Linked DNA regions of Arabidopsis thaliana. The protein of the gene in region 3 interacts with the protein of the main gene of each other region in a pairwise test. Each region holds a gene or a part of one and is shown on either strand. Other genes may lie near its edges.

Evidence for each region.
Region 1: the proteins of PAB8 (region 3) and AT1G80000 interact in a two-hybrid assay, tested with the Arabidopsis thaliana proteins (one large-scale study listed by BioGRID).
Region 2: the proteins of PAB8 (region 3) and AT4G14270 interact in a two-hybrid assay, tested with the Arabidopsis thaliana proteins (one large-scale study listed by BioGRID).

Annotation. Positions count from the first base shown.
Region 1 is NC_003070.9:30,090,136-30,098,742, reverse strand, and holds AT1G80000 (CASC3/Barentsz eIF4AIII binding protein), read right to left. Parts: upstream 5,937-8,607; 5' UTR 5,549-5,936; coding exon 5,082-5,548; intron 4,771-5,081; coding exon 4,671-4,770; intron 4,506-4,670; coding exon 4,300-4,505; intron 4,215-4,299; coding exon 3,535-4,214; intron 3,312-3,534; coding exon 3,209-3,311; intron 2,971-3,208; coding exon 2,851-2,970; intron 2,451-2,850; coding exon 2,398-2,450; intron 2,267-2,397; coding exon 2,206-2,266; intron 2,075-2,205; coding exon of another isoform or gene 2,065-2,074; exon of another isoform or gene 2,029-2,064; coding exon 2,001-2,028; 3' UTR 1,838-2,000; intron 1,753-1,837; 3' UTR 1,420-1,752; downstream 1-1,419. Other genes in the region: FRS8 (FAR1-related sequence 8), read right to left, coding at 1-987, 1,092-1,178; AT1G79990 (coatomer subunit beta-2), read right to left, coding at 6,794-6,816, 7,095-7,260, 7,394-7,523, 7,764-7,870, 7,972-8,065, 8,148-8,344, 8,448-8,519, 8,604-8,607. UniProt on the Arabidopsis thaliana protein: Core component of the splicing-dependent multiprotein exon junction complex (EJC) deposited at splice junctions on mRNAs.
Region 2 is NC_003075.7:8,215,860-8,220,850, reverse strand, and holds AT4G14270 (polyadenylate-binding protein interacting protein), read right to left. Parts: upstream 2,769-4,991; 5' UTR 2,430-2,768; exon of another isoform or gene 2,354-2,429; 5' UTR 2,335-2,353; coding exon 2,073-2,334; intron 1,984-2,072; coding exon 1,814-1,983; 3' UTR 1,544-1,813; downstream 1-1,543. Other genes in the region: AT4G14276 (Defensin-like (DEFL) family protein), read right to left, coding at 1-35; AT4G14272 (Defensin-like (DEFL) family protein), read right to left, coding at 865-1,050, 1,173-1,229; AT4G14260 (hypothetical protein (DUF295)), read left to right, coding at 3,280-4,079, 4,191-4,530.
Region 3 is NC_003070.9:18,413,604-18,421,352, forward strand, and holds PAB8 (poly(A) binding protein 8), read left to right. Parts: upstream 1-2,871; 5' UTR 2,872-3,136; coding exon 3,137-3,431; intron 3,432-3,762; coding exon 3,763-3,881; intron 3,882-4,017; coding exon 4,018-4,674; intron 4,675-4,759; coding exon 4,760-4,837; intron 4,838-4,938; coding exon 4,939-5,028; intron 5,029-5,119; coding exon 5,120-5,254; intron 5,255-5,331; coding exon 5,332-5,526; intron 5,527-5,614; coding exon 5,615-5,818; intron 5,819-5,907; coding exon 5,908-6,150; 3' UTR 6,151-6,508; downstream 6,509-7,749. UniProt on the Arabidopsis thaliana protein: Binds the poly(A) tail of mRNA. Appears to be an important mediator of the multiple roles of the poly(A) tail in mRNA biogenesis, stability and translation.

The DNA.
Region 1 (8,607 bases), about 12 Mb from region 3:
AGCAAGCAAACCACAGCCGAGCAAGATTGTATCTCCATGGTGGTTAATTCCAACAAAGGCCACAAGGGGAAGCTCGTATGCGTTAGATAAACAAGTGGTGTCGAACAGAAGAACGTCGCCAAAGTGAGAGTATGCAGCCCTAGCTCGAGCGTCAATCCAAAAGACATTCCTGAGACTCCCGTCGTCGGCAAGGTCCATGAGGTAAAGAAAGTTGGGGCTGGAAAGCTGAATTTGGAAGAAGAAATCCTGCAAGGCCCTGAAACCCCCTCTGAGCTCCAAGCGCCTTGAAGATTGGAAGTGATCAAGGCTGAGATCGCTGGTCTCCCCGCTAGAGAGTGAAGTTCCAAGAGCGGGTGGTGTGTCAAGGGCAAGGGTTCGATACAATTTGATAGTCCGGACTTGGACATGGGGAGGTGGTTCGGGATTTGTCTTAGTTGCAGGAGAAGCTGAGGAGGAGGATTTCTTGTGAGACTTGGAATTGTGGGCACGTTGAGGATCAAAGGAGTGGTTGTGGTCGAGTTTGACTTGATCAACTTTCCATCGATCAAAGTGGATGAGTCGAAGGCGAATCATGGCCTGGCAGCCGGTGCGGGTCTCCTTTCTCCGGGAGTGAGCATCTTTAAGCAGCTTGAAACCTTGGCAGTTGCAACACAAGACAGCACCACGTTTCTCCTTGCTGTTACGCTTAGTCCAGGAGGACTTGACGCGGATAGCAAAACCGAGCTCACGGGCGTATGAGTTGTAGAAACTGTAAGCATCATCGTAGGACTCGAACTCCATTCCAGGAGTAGGAGGAGGAGCCATCAAACACTTTTCATTAGCAAAAGCGTTTTCGTCGCATCCAGTTTCTTCTTCGTGATTAGGTGCGATATGAAGCAAGCCGTGACAACAGGCGTCATCATCATCTTCAAGGTCAATATCGAGATCAGGGATTGGAGGAGGAGCAAGGTCATCATCATCATCATCAACAACCAGCTGCTCTTCCATCTGAAGACCATCAAATTCAAAATTGAAATCGAAATCGGAAACCCAAATTGAAATCAAAATTTGTAGTAAATAGAGAGAGAGAAAGGAAGACAGTAGAAACCAACCGCCGAGATGCAGAGATTAGGGTTGGGCGAGAGAGAGTGGTCGGACGGTGACGGTGACGGTGAGATGTAGACGCTATTACCGATCATCTTCCACTAAACTAAAAACTAAAATCAACAAACAAACAACAACAATCGTTTCATCTCAGAGGACGCTGAGCTACCTGAATCAACGGAGACTCTATCCCTTTTTTTTTTTTTGCTGCGCCAAGGAATAAAGTTTCTATACACTTGGTTTGTTGCATCTATTCTATGCGGTCTGTTTTGTTTTTGTCGCATAACTAAATAACCAGAGCGGAGGCATGTCTTTATATATATGGTAACAATTCCTCAATGACTCATTTCTCACGAATCGGGTAAATTTGACTGAGCACCACCACTATCCCCTTGCGTAAAATATAAAACATAGACAACTAACTACCATCAAAACTCAACATGGGCAATTCTTGGGGGGACTTCGCAGGCGTACGAATAGGGCACACAACTTTTGATAAAGAAGTTGACAAACGAAAACAGAATAACACATATCAACATTACAAAATATCAATTTGAACCCAAACGGACAAAAGAATAAATTACAGATGAAGGACGCCCACGGCTCAAGCTCAAGCTCTCATAACAACGAAAACAAAACAAAAATTCTTTTCAATTGCACAACAACCTCCTGAAAACAAAACAGCAAACACAAGTTCAAATTATAATGTGGTTAAAACCTCTCTTCAATTGGTATCTTGAGAGAAATTGCGTACCTAATAAAAATAGGTAACAATAATAGCAGCCCAAACGGCTTCATAAAGCAGTTGGAGAAGCACCAAGGGCCTGCTGCTCCTAAGGAGCTCTTCTCTCTCACCCTCCTCCTTTCACTCCACTTAGTCAAATTAGATGACCTTCTTCCTTTCCACTCTTCTTTACTCACTTGCTAAAGCTCATCTCCGAGTATCTGCACATCCCTCGTCAACATGTGCTCGTTAGTGTTTCATTTCATCCTGGACCAATATTAACATTTCATTTCCACAAATATCTGTATCCAACTACTCCTGTGGTACTTTGATTTCAAGGTGGTTTCACGTCACACTAACACTGACCGATAAATAAACTAGATTGCTTCAAAACTCACCTACGAGGCTGCTTGTTTGGGTTGCTATTTGACCGTTGAGAATTCCCATTGTTCGTAACCTCTACATCAATAAACCCCCATACGAATCAGTCTCTCCATGTAATCATTCAAATTTCTTATTCGCCAAAACACAACAAAATCTTCTGAATCCATTATAACAACCCCATTTAATTGGCAAGAGTTATTACTTACCAGGTCTCTCCATGGGCTCTTCATCATTAGGATTATTGGAACTGTTCTCTTGGCTGCAACAAAAAATCAAAAATATAAGGTAATTGGGTACTTGAGCTCAAATTATATGCTTTACTAGACGCTCATAATCAGAGATGATTGACATGGTTACATGAGTGCCCAACCAAGAAAGTGAGTCTGTTTAATGAAAACTACATGTTTCTGGGTGTACATAGTCGAGAAACTACTAATCTAAGCACTTAAGAAATGTAAATCTAACAGGTAACAAGCATTTTGCAGTGGGTCTAGAATAAGAGGAACCACAAATCTAAAATCTCACATACGTTACTTAGTTAAGGGCTTAAAGCTGCATTCCCATACTACTCTTCCTCTAAGGTAAAAAGCAAAGAGTCTACACATATGCATATGGAAATGACATGTTGATTAACAATACTGAGAAAATTATTTCTAAACCTGGACGATCCGGCAGAGGAAGGTAACCCTGGTTTGTCTGCTTGGTAAGAACCATCAAGGACAGTATAAGGTGGACAATATGAACCCCCTAATGCTCCAGGGCCAGCCAAAATTGGCAGCCTGTCAATAATTTAAGAAAATAATAGCAGTAATAAGGACCTACTATAGATAGAGAAATAGGGAAATCAAACAAAAAACAAACAGCAGACGAGTGAAAGCAATAATTCAGGTTCTGTTTGGGCTAGTAAAAGACTAGTTACAAGATTAAACATCCTCTCAAATTACAAAAGCATGCAGCAAGTCAACTAAGAATGCACCAAATATATAACTTTTAAAACATAGCTGTGGAACTGCATACCATGTCATCTCAGGATTTCCGGTACCATGTTCTGGTTGGAAATAACCTGGAAGAGCCATTCCAAAAGTTGGAACCCCACCATGCTGACCACCGAATTGCATAACTGAACATGAAAATGAAAACAAACAAGTTTAAACTAGTCAGGCGTGCATATTAGCACCTGTACAAAAAGGTGCCGTTCTCAAGCGGCCCTAGACATGGGCAACCAGGCCAAGCGGCTCAGCATCAATAGCTCTCAATTTCACTAGCATGCATAGATTGATTCTGAAAGATGTCTTTCAACCATTACAATGTAGGATGAACAATGACATTCAAGAACAACTTACCAGGTAGAAAAGCAGGGAAATTTGGATTGCCGTGACCAGCTGCCATCCCGGCAGGGCCCATAAACTGTGTCCCTCCATACATAAAAGATCCCCTTCCACTAGGTTGGAGAGACCCTTTTCCCTTGGCAACCAAAGCACCTGTTTCTACGGCTGACTCTATTTCACCAGAAAGATACGGATTTTCTGATGATCCGGTTTTTGGAGGAGAAGAAGGCAGCAAACTGATAACAGCCGAATGTTGATTAAAAACCTGACCAGGAAGTTGAGTACAGCTCTGGTCAGTGCCTTTAGGCATTCCACGGATTTGCATCGGCGAAGAAACTTTGTCACCTTGATTAGGAGATTGCTGGTAAAGCACTTGCCCATGAGGAGGTACACCTCTACCATGACTTGTAGTCTGAGCAGTGCGTCCCCACAAGGAGCTGGATTTTGTATTCCCAAACTTCTTTCCAGTCGGATTAGGGTTTTCATTAATGTGCAGCCTACCCATGCCAGCTTGTACATCCTTTTGTGCCAAGTTATTGTTGGATCTTGAAGGATAAAATGGAGGAGAAGCTGAATTTAAACTTGAAGCAAATACATTCTTTTTGGCTTGGATGGCTTCAGTCTCTAAGGTAGCTGTTTCTGTTGGTGGACGCCCTAAATCAACGTGTGACACTTCCACAGACGAATTTTGGGACCTAAAGATTCCGTAAAAAGACACAACAATTAGAGACCTAGAGCCTTCATGTGTTGACTAGAGAGGAAACAAAATTAAGGACTCACTGTTTGGTTTGCACAGAAGGTGCTTGATTCCCATTTCTCAATGCAACCTCATATCTTCTGGCCCCCCTCCCTCTCGTGACAGCCTTCGGAAACTGATTTTGGTGTCCATTGCCAGTAAATTCTTTAGAATTGTTCCCCCGAGACTGTCCACGGTCCTGACCCCTACCCTGACCACGACCTCTGCCTCGGCCTCTCGAAGTCCTCCTCTATGTTCACAAGTTTAATTAATCAGCTTTCAAAAGGAAAAAAAAAAGGAAAAAGAAAAAAGAGGTGGCAAATGTATAAACACAGCAAGAGGAAACAAGTCGATGAATACAAATATATTTATGAAAAGGAGAGAAAGAGAAAGAGAGATGATCAGAGAAAAGTACATCATATTGCTGTTTCTGTGTATTCATTTCCTCGAATTTGTCATGTCCCCACTTTCTTTCATCTCTGGATTGCCAGAGCCTCCTACCACCACGCATTCGCCTACAGAAATAAAAAACGAAAACCTATATCGGTTGGCATTACCATGTAACTAAACAGAATGTTAAATGGAAAAATAGCAGTGTGATGGCATCTCGGGTAGATTCATACATAAAGATTCACAATCAAAGTTAAAACATAAAACCAAAGCAGTTGTTCCAATCTATCTGAACTCTGAAGTACATCATGAGATTGAATGACGGAAAGTCGTTTGCTAATTTCACCTATCAATGTACTCTACCTCAATAGTAGATAGATACATTTGCATAGTTTGGACAAAACACTACCTCCTCATAGAATCAAAAAGAGTTTACCTATTAGAGGCGGCATCCAATTCCTGAAATCTGTCATCATGCATATAGAAAGCTCCAGCAGTAGGCACTGCAAAAGGTTCCTTCTTCTTTTGTTCCTCTCCATCCACAAGATCAGTGGCGGCAGAGTCATCGGTCCCATTGCCGGCGACAATTGTCTTGTCATTATTATCCGCAATGTATTCGACATGGTCATCAACTTGTCCATAATCACCATCTTCCTCTTCGTCGTCATCATCACCATAACTATCTTCTATGTGCAATCCTTCATTATCATCAGAGTCGACAACAACAACACCACTGTGTTCATCGGAATGAATCTGGATTGCTGCTCGCAGCTTATCATGGTCGTCCGCTTCTTCATCATCCTCATCATCATCGCTGGCTTCTCTCCTCCGTGTAGCCAAGGAGCGGTTCAACTCGTCGGGATCACTCTCATAGTCGGAGTCTTCAACGCCATCAGGGGCCATCAATCCCTCTAAATCGGAGGGCCAAACCGAAAACCTAGAAGAGGAATAAATTGAATAGAGCAATCAATCGGATATGGGACAAACTAGTATATCTCTACGGAGAGAGACGACGATACCAGGAGATCAGAGCGAGAGAATCTCCTCAGTGTTTCTTCATGAGAGATCCGCAGATAGATAGATAGAGAGATAGATAATTATAATAAGAAAAAACCTCTTAAAGATTATTAAGATTGATTGGGTTTACTTTGTAGACGGGAAGACTCTTTCCGTTGGGTCTTCTTATCAAATCGAATGGGTTTTTTACTACTTGTAGACTGATGATGATGCACCTACAACATTTGACGCTTGAGTTCTTTTTTCCCAGTTTTTGGGAATTATCCAACTTGACTACTTTATTAACTTTTTTTTAACCAACAATACTAATTGATAAGTTTAATACAAATTAGCTCTACCTTATCACTTTTTCTCTCAACTATTGTTGTCTATTAATCCTGACAAAAGTGACCATGTTAATATAAATAAAACATGTGGTTTCTATATAAATCAAGGGTATATAACTCCATTGGTCAACAACTTGAATATCAATCAAAACCGGAAAATTAACTTCCATAGGTGCATGCAAGTGTGTAACTCAATGGAGTAGTTGAACCTATACACAGTTTGCAGTAAGAAGCAACAAGAAAATTTAAAATCATTTCCAAGACAAAATGGGTAGAAGAATAATGATATGGTGATGGTGATTACGGACAGTGGAAGAATGCAAGGAACTTTGTTTTGGGTCCTTGTTTGCTTTGAGAGATGTTTCGAGATGCGTCTCCTCCACAATACTAATAATAATGCACCATGCGTTATCCTCTGGCTCTTTCCCAACTTATCCCTTCACTTTGATTATTTCCAATTAAGTTTTTTGCTACTGCTATTGAGTTTTGCAAAAAAAAAAAAGATATCAACTACATAACCTATTGAATCGAAAGTCAAAACATATTATATGGGTGAAATCTCAGTTCAAAACAGATATTCTACAGGTGAAATCTCTCATAAGTTAAAGCTACATAAGAGTCCCAAAACCCCCTTTTTTTTTAATATGTATCTGTATTAAAAGCACAAAGCGGAAGCTATCAATAGATCAGTTTTTTAACAATGGAAACTAATCTCTCTCTGTGCTGCCTCATTTCTCTGCTGAATGTATCAAGTTTCAAAGCCAAGAAAATATCTATCTGTGTATGTCTTCACTCTTCACCAACCCTACTCTTGTGGCGGTGTTAGAACTGTACAACAAACAAATATTTAATCAGTCCACGGATTGATAAAAAAGTTAATGGCATAGAGAAGCACTATTTAAAAGACAGTCAACATCAAAAGTAAGATGATCAGTAAGACGAAGATGGGAGGCAGACAGATGAGGAAACATTGATGGACAGATGCAAACGCAAATCCTATGATATATGTGCAGATGGCAAAAGGATATTTTGGTGCAGCGACATCTTATAATCAATTGATAACCACAAATGCTATAAGGCTGATGCGGTTCCTTCACTAATCTTACCCCACTGTTCTTCAGACTCGTTACCATTAACTAGCACAGCACCATCCGTAGAGTCAGCGTCCACCACAACAGCCTCTTCTTCCACATTCTGCTGTCTCCCATCACTACTCTCTTCCTGACGATCCTCCTCCTCCTCTTCCTCTCCATCTTCCCCCTCTTCCCCAACCTGTTCACAACAAATGAAGCAGCGACAGTAGAATTAATGATCCTACCATTGTCCACCATGGCCAAGACCATTGGATTGGATATCATGGGTAAAAGACAATCCTCTTCAATGCATGTAATGTAAACATGCATACCTCGTCGAGAACATCCCCTTGCTCAAGTCGACCCTCTTCCTCTATTTGCATAATTCTAAAAGCATCCACTAAAGTTGTATGATCTCTGTCTGCATGACTACAATAATCCCCAGCAGGAGGATGGACGCCCCTGCAAGATAAGTCAACAAAAATACTTTGTTTATGAGGATCCTGAAAAAATGAAATCGACATTCGGCTTATGTTTATACGGGTATAAATTCAAATTATAAGCAAATACATGACGGCTACCTTGCTATGTAATACAGACACATGACTCTAAATGGCTTAAGTCCCACAATTCAATTAAAAAGGTTTCCTCATAAGCACTGTTTTTAAGAATAAGCTAATGACGGCAACGACGAAAAGATACCTCGTCTCTGCAGCTCTATTTTCAAGGGACAGGGCGACTTGCCACTCCTCAAAGAGATTGGGATACTCTTCGGGATCAGCCAGAGATTCAGCAGCCTTTGGACTTATCTATATCCAGATTGACAGAGGATGAAGAAAAATTGTGGATATCTCAACAGGCAAGGTTTGAAATTCAATCACAAGGTGCATCGGATGTGTCTACCACTAACCTTGGTCAAATCGTTTCTCCACAATGCCACTATTTCGGAGACCTTGCTTGGAAGGTACGATCTCGCCATCAGAGCGGCTTCAGGTATTCGATTACTGTAACCATATTAATATCAGCATAGACGTAATTAGTTGCGGGAATATATGTTCCACATGTAAGAAATAGTAAACAATGTACCTTTCCACCAACAGATGCAGGCAGTCTTCTACTTGACCCAACATGAACAAGCAAAGAAAAGCGACATTGTTCTTTCCTTGCTCTTTTGCAAGTGCTGCCAGCTTCATCATTCCATCTGCATCTCCCAATGAAGAATAAAGCAGCAGCAGACCACTCAAATCCATAGCATGCCTCATGCATTCCTCAGCCATATCCAGCTAAGTAGTCCAAGCATGGGAAGGAAAATGAAAAGAAAAATACATGTTAGCTTTAACCTTTGTAAGAATCCTAGAACACTGATTGCAGCTAAAAAATGGTCACCTTCCCACTTGACATAGCTAATTCTCCAAGTTGCTTCCATTTAGATTCATTTTGTGCCTCTACAGCAATGTCCTGTCAAAAAATAAGAATCGAGTAAAAACATATCGGTAAGTCATGGAAATAAAGCTTCTCAAATGGTAAAAACTACAGACTAACCTTT
Region 2 (4,991 bases), on a different chromosome or scaffold from region 3:
AATAAAACAAAAGAGACAACATTTGTTCTAACCATTCTCTCTTTTTTCTTTGTTAATTAAAATATTAAGAACTTTTGATATTTTTGTATTGCAATGAGAATGAAGGAGGAGTTGTTTCGTATTTATAGTAAGAATTGTAACTATATTCAAGGGATCCTTCGAATTAACATTATCTTACATAATAAATTAGTAAGGAATACAATATATTTAGTCAACCAAATTAAAAACATGTTTCCAAAAAGATTGGATTCCAACCTTGACTACATTATTACAAGATATACATGACTTATTTAGATAAACGTATTTGGTTTATTCTGTCGAGCTAGAGAGATATGATTAGATGCTCATTCATTCCTCAATATTCCAATTCACTAGTTTAGGAAATTATACTTATTGCATAATCTTGAGGCTCACGCCTACTACTTGTACAATATAAACAATGCTCTGTATCTCTTTGTGAAATATATCAAACATACAGTATTCCGTTGTCGTAATATTCTTGTTTGAACTCTAAACCAAAACTTAGATCGGTTTGGTTTTTGTTTGATTTTCGAATTAATTTGGCATGTGTTGGAATTGGTATAGACCTACCATTTAACCATCAGTTCCCAAAAAAAAAAAAAAAAAGAGAGACTTAAACATACAAACGTTTAGGTGGTATATTTTGATTATTATATTTTTATGAAATTTTCGATTTTTTTTTGTTTAGGTGGTAAAAATGCGATCCATTCTTGTTATAGATTTTTCAAAAATTTGATACAGAAAAGAAGGGAAGAAACATGAAATTTGCACTGTTATTTAGACAACAAAATAATCCTTTTGTCTCATGCGTTATATTTTAGACTTGTATAATTTCTGGGATGATTATTTGTCTGCATTATAACCTCCGCTTTTCGCAACCATCAAGCAAAATTTCCAGCATTTTCCATCGTTTTGAATATCATCATCAATACCTGAAAGACATATTCCAATTTCCGAATGTTCTCTATTACACGACACCGGCTGCTTCATACTGTATATCCATGGCGTAATGTTTTCTTTTCCATTCATCTTTTCGGATCCTACTTTTAACCCCCAAAAAAATGATTGTTAAATTTACAAAATTTCAGAAAACAATATAACAATATAGTATTAGTACTAAAGAGTAAAAGAAAACATACCCACACTGCCACACATTGCATGAGAGCTGCAAATATAACCAAAGAGACGACAACATTTGCTCTTAACATGTTTTTTTTTCTTTTCGTAAAACGCTAATATCACCAATTGTTAATCCCTTTTTTCTTTGAATGAGGACAAAACAAAGGAGTTGTTTCAAAATTATAATCAAGTGCTCCTTTGAATGATTTACATAACATAGTAATTAATATAAAAAAAATTATTGTTTGATCAACCAAATTAAAGGTTATCCAAAATAAATTGGATTCCAACTTTTATGACATCATTATCTTCATATGCGCATGGTAAAGTTTTAGCTCAACTCTAACCATATTCGGGTTGGTTTGTGTTTAATACCCATTTTCGGTTTGGTTTGTGTTTAATACCGGTTTCAATATTGTTGTTAGATTTGGTTTCCAAAGACAAATGATACAATCCCATTTTAAACCGACCCAAACATTTCGATTCGACCTGGTTCGATTTCAATTTGGTTATGCTCATAACATAAAGTGATGTTATTATAGAAAGTAGGAATATTCACAGAATTACAAAAAACAAGAAAGCAGAAAAGATCAGATTCAGCCATAAACACAGACACGACTCTGATTATCATCTCGAAAGAAGAAGAAGAAGAGCTTTGTTCCTTCTAGAAGCTTCACCGTGGCTGATAGATATGATGATTCCGGCGACAATTAAAGTTCGGATTCATGTACTTCTTCTGATTATACTTTGGTGAACAAGACGAAACCTTCGATCTATAAATCTTCTCTTTCGTAGACTCCGCTATGTTCAAAAGCATCTTCAAATAACTAGCCACATCTGCTTCTGCCATTAAAACACACAAAAATCCTCAGATCTGAATGTTTCGAATCCCTAAATCTCAACTAATTTCAAAACAGTAAACAAATCGTTACCTGTAACTGTATCAGCCATGGATCCACCATCAGACGATGCGATCATCTCCTCGAACTCTTCTTCCATAACTGAGAAATCGTCGCCGCCGAGGAACTCATTCTCAGAGTTAGCACTGAGCCAAAAGTCACGGAACCATTTCGAAGTCGTTACTAGATCCCACCATTTCGGTGAAAAATCCTCCACCTCACGAAATTCCACCGGATCAAACACCGGCGCGTTTGGATTCAGCGTTGATAACCTCCGATCTATCGTCGCCGTCATCTTTCACCTCAAACTCACACTGAAACAAAGTCAGAAACTCAGAAATTCGAATCGATTCATAGTAATGAAATCGGAAATCAGAGTTTTGTCGTTACCTTTCGTTGATCAACGAGTCAAACTGGGTCTTAGAGCGAGTCTCACTCACGAGTCGCTTGGGCACGGTTTTAAAGAAGAGACAATCCGGTTATCCGGTAAAGAGTCACGGCCACGTGTGATGTAAAATATGAGGATCTGACGGTCATGAATGATAAGGGCGTGATCTGACGGTGGTGATGTTCACAATAATTGGGATATACGTTCGTTAGTTACTGGATAAGATATTTATTGTTCTTATAATCTTATTACTGTTTTGGAATTTGGATAAAACGAAAGATATTTTGTGTAGTAGGAAATTTCTAGAACGTAGAAGCCCATAAGCCCATTAAGCTAAAGAAAAAAAAAAAAAATCGAACGTGGTTGCATGAAAAGTTTTCTGTTTCAATTAAAAACATATCGAAAAATTAAAAAAAAAAGGGTAGAATATAGAGTAATTTGTATGCATTGATTTTAGGAAATGATTTTAGATTTTATGAATAAAACAATTTTTGGGAACAAATATTGAACAACAAATTCCACAGAAAAAAACAAAAATTATAATAAGATTTTAACGAGCTATTTATGGAATTTCTAAATATTCTCATTTATGTCTTGTACTTGCTGAGCAAGGATATTCTTATTAGTATTAAGTACAATAATGACACAGATTATACAAGAGACGAAAACACTTAAAGAAGTTCAACAATGGCACAGCTTATAATCAGCCGAGTCTTTAAACCCTCTGTCTGCAAAAACTTCCTCTTAAGCTTCTAAGTAATAAATTCATTTTTCTTTAACTTCTTCTTGTTATTGATATCGTCTCTGACTACTTGAACATATATATGGCAGAGACACAAAAATGTTGTTCGTATGTTCTCATCTACAACTTCTCACACAAGCGGGTGGGATTCGGATGACGAGACTAAAGTGACTCAACTCTTGTCGTCTGAACCAGCCTACCCGTTTTTATTGATTGAATACATCACTAACATCCAAAATTCTTCTTCGGATGGTCGCGTAATAGTATACGACGACGATTCTTCAAAGGGAAAGGCAACAAAAGTCACTATTAAGGACAAGAAACTCGAGAAGGAGGTCATTGAGGCGATGACTGTCGGATTTTTACGTGATGGATTAAAATTCTATCTTTCGTACAGAAGCAGCGACCATCAACCTGTGATCACTTATGAGACCTCCAATCCCAAACTAGAAAACTTGACCATTCATTTACCTTCTGTACCCACCGGTACCAAAATCCATAACCTAGCCATGTCCTCTATACCTGTTCAAGATAAAGATTGGGTAGTGGGTGTCAAATTATCGGGATCTCGGGTTAGTCTTTGCAGGCCTTTTGGCAGCTCTAAATGGATCAACATGAAATTCATGTCTCAGTGTATAAACCCTTTATCTAGCCTCATGTTCTCCAAGAGAGATCAAAGGTTCTACATTCCAAGTTACGGAGGCAACTACTTGTGCTACTTGGATCTCAACTCTAAGGAGGGTGATGATCATTTCAACTCTAGGCAGGAGAATGGGCAACCCAGCTTCATCGACTTGGATTATGAAAATCTTCCAGAGTCGGTGTTTAAGCAGTTGGCGGGAGTGAGTTCATGTTCCAAGACAGATCACCTTGTGGAGTCACCCACCGGCCAACTTTTCCTCGTCAAGTGGTATAGTATCTAATTAACTAGACATCTCTCATAACATATTTACAATATATCTTCATTTCGTTGGTGGTTTTTTGGCTTGAGAATCGTATTGGTTCTATCATGTCTTTGCAGGTTCGTGGAGGACGTGGAGGACCTTTGCGACAATACACCCATGCACGTAACAAAAAAGTTCATGGTGTTTAGAGCAAATGAGGCTTCTGACGAAAAGAAGAAGACTATGATCTACACAGAACACATTGGAGATCTTTGCATTTTTCTTGGACATAGTGAGGCTTTCTGCATCCCGGCTAGTACGTCGTGTGGACTCGAGCCTAACTGCATCTATTTTGTTGGCAATAACTTTGGTGTTTATGATCTCACCACCGAAACTTGCTCTACCTTTTACACTAGTGTAAGGCCACTAAAGAACGTTAGTTTCCCTTACTGGCCTCCGCCAACCCCTATCTACTAGTTCCTACTTAATTAACATGGCTCTTGCACGTGTATTTGCTTTCCCATGCTATCATTGAAATCCTATGTGCCTCTTTCAATATGTTATTCTTAGATTTTTTTTTTCTTTTGTCTTTTCCGAATTTGCCACTGCATACGGGTGCAAGAGAAAGATTATTGAAAGCCTATAACCAAAAGCAGTGGTTTTAACTTTTAATTTGATTAGGAAAAAACTAAAAAACAAGTGTTTTGTAATCTAGTGTTTGTGAATTCTTTGTTTTCCAACTTAGATCTATAAAGATAGATCTCAATATGTTCTTTAATGTAATCGTGTTATACTACAGTACATTAAAAGCAAAGAGTAAATCCCAAAAAAAATGGAAATATAGCAAACAAAACAAAAACCCGAAAAGGAGGTTCTTTTTTTTTATTTCGTTGAACGAAATTGGAGCCGACGTTAAACCGAACCAAATCGTATATGTC
Region 3 (7,749 bases):
TTTTTGTTGCCGACAAAACCTCCTAATAAATAAATACTAATATATAATATAACATATTTAGAAAAGAGAATTGAACGGAGCAAAAGTTTATCAATAATGATTATCAGTGTGGAGTTTTTGGCCATTTACGGATGATTTACCTTTTTGTGAGAACGTTCATTAGAGAACATCAGTGATTTTTCAAGGATAGTTGGGGATGGGTGTATTATTTTGTAACAACAAACAAGAAAGAGCATCTCTAATGGTGAAATATTCACCAAGTGTCTCTTATCAATATTATAATATTATTTAAATATAATTTTGTTATTTAACTAAATTTTAAGTGATAAATAAAAATGAACAAATCATATTAAGACATTATACTAAGATATGTGGTATTTGGGATTTTAAATAAGATTTTATATACTTTAAAATAAGAACCATTCTTATTCTCTTGCCTTTTCTATTATTATTTTTGATTAATTAATATTAAAAACTCACCATTGAAGATGCTCTAAAACATAGTCAACTTGGTTTTAAAAAAAGAAACTAAAAAAAAAGATAAATGTTTATCTGTTGTTGCTTGTTGTTTGATACAACATGTCTCCTCTGATATGAGTTACTTTTAATATGCAGGAACAAGAGGATTGGTAGAACGTTATATGAAACAAGAGGTATGAATATTATATTTTCACTTTTCTCACTCACTACTTTTCTCGTATTTCATTTATTGTTTTTTTTGTATGACTAGAAAGTCGGAATTCCAAATTAATAACATGGTTTTTTCAAATGATTTGACTATACCGTAAAGCAACTCAAGTTTCAACCATTTGTTCGAACTTGTTCTCAAAACTAGTTTCACCCCGAAAAATAATGGTTTGTAAAGATATGGGCAGAGAAAGAAAATTGAACTTGGAAAGAAATTGGATTAGACATCACTTAAAAATAGTAAATTTGTGCTAAAAGAAATTTACTGAAAACATTGCTTAACTTTCTTATTTACATAACATCCTAGCATTCTTCAACTAATGATAACTATCACTTTATAGAGAAAGAAAATAGACAACATTATCACAACATTGACATAACCTCATAGGGTCACGGCTTCACTGCTTTCACGGCTTCAAATGGATTTTAAAGCCTTTGTAGTATTTTTTTTGCCAATCAGACTTTTTTCACTTTATTTTTTTTGGAAGTTTTTAAAGCTTTTTTTTTTCTTTTTCCTTTATTTTTCTTTTTGAAAGTCACGTAAATGAGGCTTTTAAAACAAATTAAAAGCTTTTCGTTTTCTTCTCTAAACATAATTAAAAGTTCTCTACAAATTACATATTTCTTTTTTCAAAACGTTTTTGATTAATAATTATTATCAAGTTACTAATTTTTTTTTAAGATCCATTTCACTAATAATAATTTTATTTTTTATCATCAACACTAATAAAGTTAGATGTCATTTCATTATCATTAATAAATTTGTTGATTTTATGATAAGTCAAAAAAATCATTCAAAACAGTTTTGAGAAAAAAATTTAGCCATAAGAATCATTCAAGATGAGTATTTTAATTATTAATGTGTTTGGATATTAAGTGTTTGGATATTAAGTGCATGAAACAATAAATATAAATAATGCAATGTTTGGTCTTTTAAAAATGAATGAATAATATATATTTTTAAAAATCAGTAATAAAGTTTTATTGTTACTAATAAAAAATAACAGTCACAGCTTCTACAACTTTGTTTTACCAATCTGATTTTAACAGCCAAAGTCTTTACAGCTAAATTCTTTGTACCTCAAATTTTTAAAGTCAAACCTTCTAAAGCCAAAAATAACGGTCGTTACCAATCTGTTAAAAAAATTTACCTTCTGAATTAGCATAAACTGATTTCGGTATACCATGTTTCAATTTCTTCTGACTGAAAATAGAAGAGATGATATTGTTATTACACATTTCACGCTGAAGAGATACTAAAAACAGTTAGAAAGGCAAAAAGAGTTATGTTCGATCGACTAATTTTAAATTATGCAAGATTGGGCCCAATACAGGCTAGAATTTCGGTCCATAATTTTCCAAGACATCAAGAAACTGGTTCACAAGATTTGTTGGCCCATTTTTAATTATCTACTATCTTTAGCCTCTATTATCCTTGACTGAGGTATGAAGTTGCAACATAACGATTTCGAAACTTCTTAAAACTTTTCTCATAACGCAAGCTAGAAAAGGTTTTTTAAAAAGTCCCCCATGTTTTTAGTTTCATGCATTACATCACATATTCACATGTATGTGGAGAGATAGATAACCAAATTGTTAGATAACTGCATGTTATTTAAAATTTTATGTGTTCTTTTAGAAAAAGAGCACCATTTTATATTTTTTGCAAATTAATCAAAAACTTTACAACTTCTTAGCTATTTTCATAAATTTGCATGGTCATTCAATGGTATTTACTAATAATAATTAAATATGTCTGAACGAACATATTTTTTTTTGACAGTTACTACAGCTATTTCATATTTTATCCTTTTTATACAAAAATCACTTCACTTTCTAATTTACCTTGCAGAAAATTTACTACAGTACATACTAATAATTTTAACAAATTTTCTTAAATAAAACATCACTACACTTACACTGATTCTTGTTTTTCTAATCTCATTAGTAATTACTCCTCATTAGTCTGAATACGGTTATATATTTTTGAGCACAAATACTTTTGCCCAATAAAATAAAATAAAATGGTAAGATATTTCCCAACGCATATTTTATACAAGTGTGTGACCCACAACAAGACACACTACAGTGTAAATCCAACGGCTGAGATTTCTCAAATTACCATCAAAGCTTTTAGGGTTTGGTGAAACCTTCCATATATAAACACTGAAACCTCCAAGTTGTCTTTCCTCTTTGCAGTTTTTTTTCATTTGAGCTTCTCTCTGATAAGGTCACTTCCTCTGACCCTTTTATCTAAGCTCAACGCTGCAACTCTCGCCGTCGGTTACTTCCCCATTTTCCTTCCTTCTTCCGATTCAAAGACTCAATTTTTATTCTCCGGCGTTGAGGATTCATCTCCTAAAAATCTCTGCTTTATCTTTTGATTTGAGCTGATTTGGAGAGGAGAAGAAGATAGATAGATAGGTAATTCGGATTGATATCTCGAAAAATGGCTCAGATTCAGCATCAGGGTCAAAATGCCAATGGTGGTGTAGCTGTTCCCGGTGCTGCTGCGGCTGAAGCTGCGGCGGCTGCGGCTGGAGCTGCGGCGGCGGCTGCCGGAGCTGCGCAGCAAGGGACGACGTCTTTATATGTCGGTGATCTGGATGCGACCGTGACGGATTCACAGCTGTTTGAGGCGTTTACCCAAGCGGGTCAGGTGGTTTCTGTCCGTGTCTGCAGAGACATGACGACTCGGAGATCTCTAGGCTATGGCTACGTTAACTATGCAACTCCTCAAGATGGTAACTTTCTTAAGGCTTATCTGATTTGGTAACTTAGTCGTTGTAGCTCATCTGAATTTGGGGTATGGACTGATGTGTTATATCAAATGCTAATCTAAATTTGGGAGCTTTCTATAAAAAAGGTGAAAGCTTTCAGGTTAATTTGGAAAGTGGTTACATTTGGTAACATTGTGGGCTTTCAGGGTATTTGGCTGTTAGGGAGGATAGTTTTCTTTTGAGGTCATAGAGTTAGAGTTATGACCTCAATGTTATGAGTAGACTCAATGTTATTCTTCTTACAGAAATGAATGATTTGAGTTATGTTGATGTTAATATTTCTGATTGGTGACAGCTTCCAGGGCACTGAATGAGCTGAATTTCATGGCTCTTAATGGAAGGGCTATAAGAGTTATGTATTCTGTTCGTGATCCAAGTCTCCGTAAGAGCGGAGTTGGTAATATATTTATTAAGGTACATATATTAAATCTCTTTTTCCTATTGTCCAAGTTTGAACTTCTATGCAGAGATGGAAAGAAACCTTGGCTTGTTTAATATCCTATCTCAAAGTTTGTTTGTTTATTGACATGGTTTATTATCTGTGTCTCAGAATCTTGACAAATCAATTGATCACAAAGCACTTCACGAGACATTTTCAGCCTTTGGTCCCATTCTATCTTGCAAAGTGGCCGTTGATCCCTCTGGTCAGTCGAAAGGCTATGGGTTTGTGCAGTACGACACTGATGAAGCAGCTCAGGGAGCCATTGATAAACTGAATGGAATGCTTCTTAACGATAAGCAAGTTTATGTTGGACCCTTTGTTCACAAGCTGCAGAGAGATCCTTCGGGTGAGAAAGTTAAGTTCACTAATGTTTATGTCAAAAATCTCTCCGAGTCCTTGAGTGATGAAGAGCTTAACAAAGTTTTTGGAGAGTTCGGAGTGACTACTAGTTGTGTTATCATGAGAGATGGTGAAGGAAAGTCTAAAGGCTTTGGATTTGTCAATTTTGAGAATTCTGATGATGCAGCCAGAGCTGTTGACGCTCTAAATGGAAAGACCTTTGACGACAAGGAGTGGTTTGTTGGGAAGGCCCAAAAGAAGTCCGAGAGGGAAACTGAACTCAAACAAAAGTTTGAGCAAAGTTTGAAGGAGGCTGCAGACAAGTCTCAGGGGTCGAACTTATATGTTAAGAACTTGGATGAGAGCGTCACAGATGATAAGCTCAGAGAACATTTTGCTCCCTTTGGAACTATTACATCATGCAAGGTCCGTGACTGATACAATAAAAAGCGCTGCTTGTTACTATCTTCAGCAGATTTGCATTAAAATGTATTACATTTGAACGTGACAGGTGATGCGTGACCCCAGTGGAGTGAGTAGAGGATCTGGATTTGTCGCATTTTCAACTCCTGAGGAAGCAACTAGAGCTGTAAGTGACTAGAATATAAAGAAGACATGTCAAATTTTGGTGATCTCCTATTCTCTGGAAGGATCTTGATGCTTAACACTGTCTTCTTTTCAATGTTTCAGATTACAGAGATGAATGGAAAAATGATCGTTACCAAACCTCTATATGTTGCTCTTGCGCAGCGGAAAGAAGACCGCAAAGCTAGGTTACAGGTCTGGTTAATTTACCCATGTTGTTATCCTTGAAAAGGATTATCCTAATCCCATGCTTATCGTGCTTAATTTGACCTCTCTGGCATTTTAGGCTCAATTTTCACAGATGAGGCCGGTCAATATGCCACCTGCGGTTGGTCCTAGGATGCAAATGTATCCACCAGGTGGTCCACCAATGGGTCAGCAACTCTTCTATGGTCAAGGGCCTCCTGCTATGATTCCTCAGGTAAAGCTCAAAGCTTTAAGCATAAAACATTTGAGACCAATCTTTATAACTTTCTTCTCCAACTGGGTATCGAACAGCCTGGATTCGGATATCAACAACAGCTTGTACCGGGTATGAGACCTGGTGGGTCTCCAATGCCAAACTTCTTCATGCCTATGATGCAACAAGGCCAGCAACAGCAACAGCAGCAACAGCAGCAGCAGCGACCTGGTGGTGGTAGAAGAGGAGCTCTTCCACAACCACAACAACCTTCTCCTATGATGCAGCAGCAGGTTAAGTTTTGCTTTAGGCCCAAGACTTTCTCCACATGTTTAAAATCGATAGCATGCTTACATTTTGCATCAATCTGTTTCTCTACAGATGCATCCAAGAGGTCGAATGTATCGGTATCCTCAGCGAGATGTAAACACAATGCCTGGTCCTACTCAAAACATGCTTTCTGTTCCATATGACGTCTCAAGTGGTGGTGGTGTGCATCATCGTGACTCGCCTACTTCTCAACCTGTTCCTATTGTAGCTTTGGCTACACGGCTTGCGAATGCAGCTCCAGAGCAACAGAGAACGGTAAAGTCAAATGATTTGTTTCTAACAGCTCGGAAACAACTAAGAAAAATGTGTCTTTCTTAAACCTGTTATGTTTCTTCGTTATACAGATGCTTGGTGAGAATCTATACCCGCTTGTGGAGCAGCTGGAGCCAGAATCCGCAGCTAAAGTCACGGGAATGCTTCTTGAAATGGACCAAACCGAAGTACTTCACTTGCTGGAATCACCAGAGGCACTTAAAGCTAAAGTTACAGAAGCAATGGATGTTCTGAGGAGTGTAGCACAGCAGCAAGCGGGTGGTGCAGCTGATCAGTTAGCTTCTCTGTCTCTTGGAGACAACATCGTACCTTGAGAGTTCTAAGTTATATCTGAAAGAGCTCAGTTTATATACACTGTAAAAGTGTTTATTTTGTTCTTTTGGAGAATCAGAAACAGAGTTGTTCTTGAAAGTTTTGGATTTTTGAGTTTTTGTTTTGGGCGAGAGTTTTAACATTTTCCTTCTGTGTTTTTGATTTTCTTAATACTTTGGGAAGTTTTGTATCGTTACTCTCACCTTTTTTTACCTACACTGCTCATTTGATAGGGTATTGTTTGGCTTTTGTCTAGAGTTTCGACTTTTGGGTATAAAATTTGGTTTAAAAGCTTCGAATGATCAATGTAACAATAAGTTTACAGGGCTTTTCTAGGAAATTATTCTTGCTTCCGAAAACAGACTGGGAGAAATCAAACGGGCCTTGGAATAACCTTATCGACTTAGTTACTGAATTGGCCTTGGCCTGACCATAACAACCTATATCTCATCACGAAACTTGGCCTTTGCTTGGTAAAGTTTAAGCTCTTGGTTTTGATGAGATAAGGTCTCTAGCCGAAAGTGTTACATAATTCATAAGACCCATGCATGTAGTAATATTTGCATTCACATACTTGACAATTGACATACTCGAGTTTTGTTCCATATTCTTCATCGTGTTCTTTGATGGCTGTTTCTATGAGAATTTGAGCAGCTCTTCATTGCTCTGTTTATCATCTATAGATGGTTTCCAGTCAAAGTTAACAACAGATAACACGTAGTTAAAACTATCCTAGTTCACATCAAAACCCTCGCTATCTTCAAATTGTTTGTAAAAAAGCTTTCGTTGTCTCCTACATTCAAGAAGACCAAACCTGGTGGCAGAGGATCAATCTCCTTTGCATCTTGGGAATCGTTGGAAACAGCCGTATAGTCGAAACTATTAACATCTCCTTTCCTCTATTGATTTGAATTGAGTTAGAATTGCAATTGTCTAACATACACTAGAAATTCGATAAATTAATAAACTCTTTAAACTAATTAATTTTGCCAGTCCTAAATTGGACCAATATAAAAATTAACTAAAATCATAAAATATATATATATATATATATTTTTAAATCTCTATGTAAAAATATGGTCTCAATAATATCATAAATCTTAAGCATACATTCTAAAATAATCTAATATAAAATAAGTCTAATGTTGTTTGTCTTTTCTAAAAGTTCGAATCTCGTTGAAGTTCATCTCTAATTTTCTTATTACATCAAAAACTCTTGGTGTTGTCTTCTCGATCTACATCCAAAAATTGTGAAAAATTGTAGATGCGATAATTGCTTCCTTACGTGTCACTATTTCCAAAAATTCTACATTATCGTCTTCAACTTCTTTACCAACATTACAAACAAAAGCTATAATTTCTTTTAAACTATAAACTTCTAAACATGCTTTATTTTCACCCGAATAATCGAGTAGGATATTGATATCAATTCTATTTCGATAACCAAAATTGTTAATCATAACTTCAAATTCTTGAATGTGATTCTCAAAATCTAAAGAAAAATAATTTTTTTTTTAACATAATGAAATATGCAAACAACAAAGTATAAAAAAATTGAAGTAAAAAAAAAATTAAGAAATAATATAATATTATATTTTGCG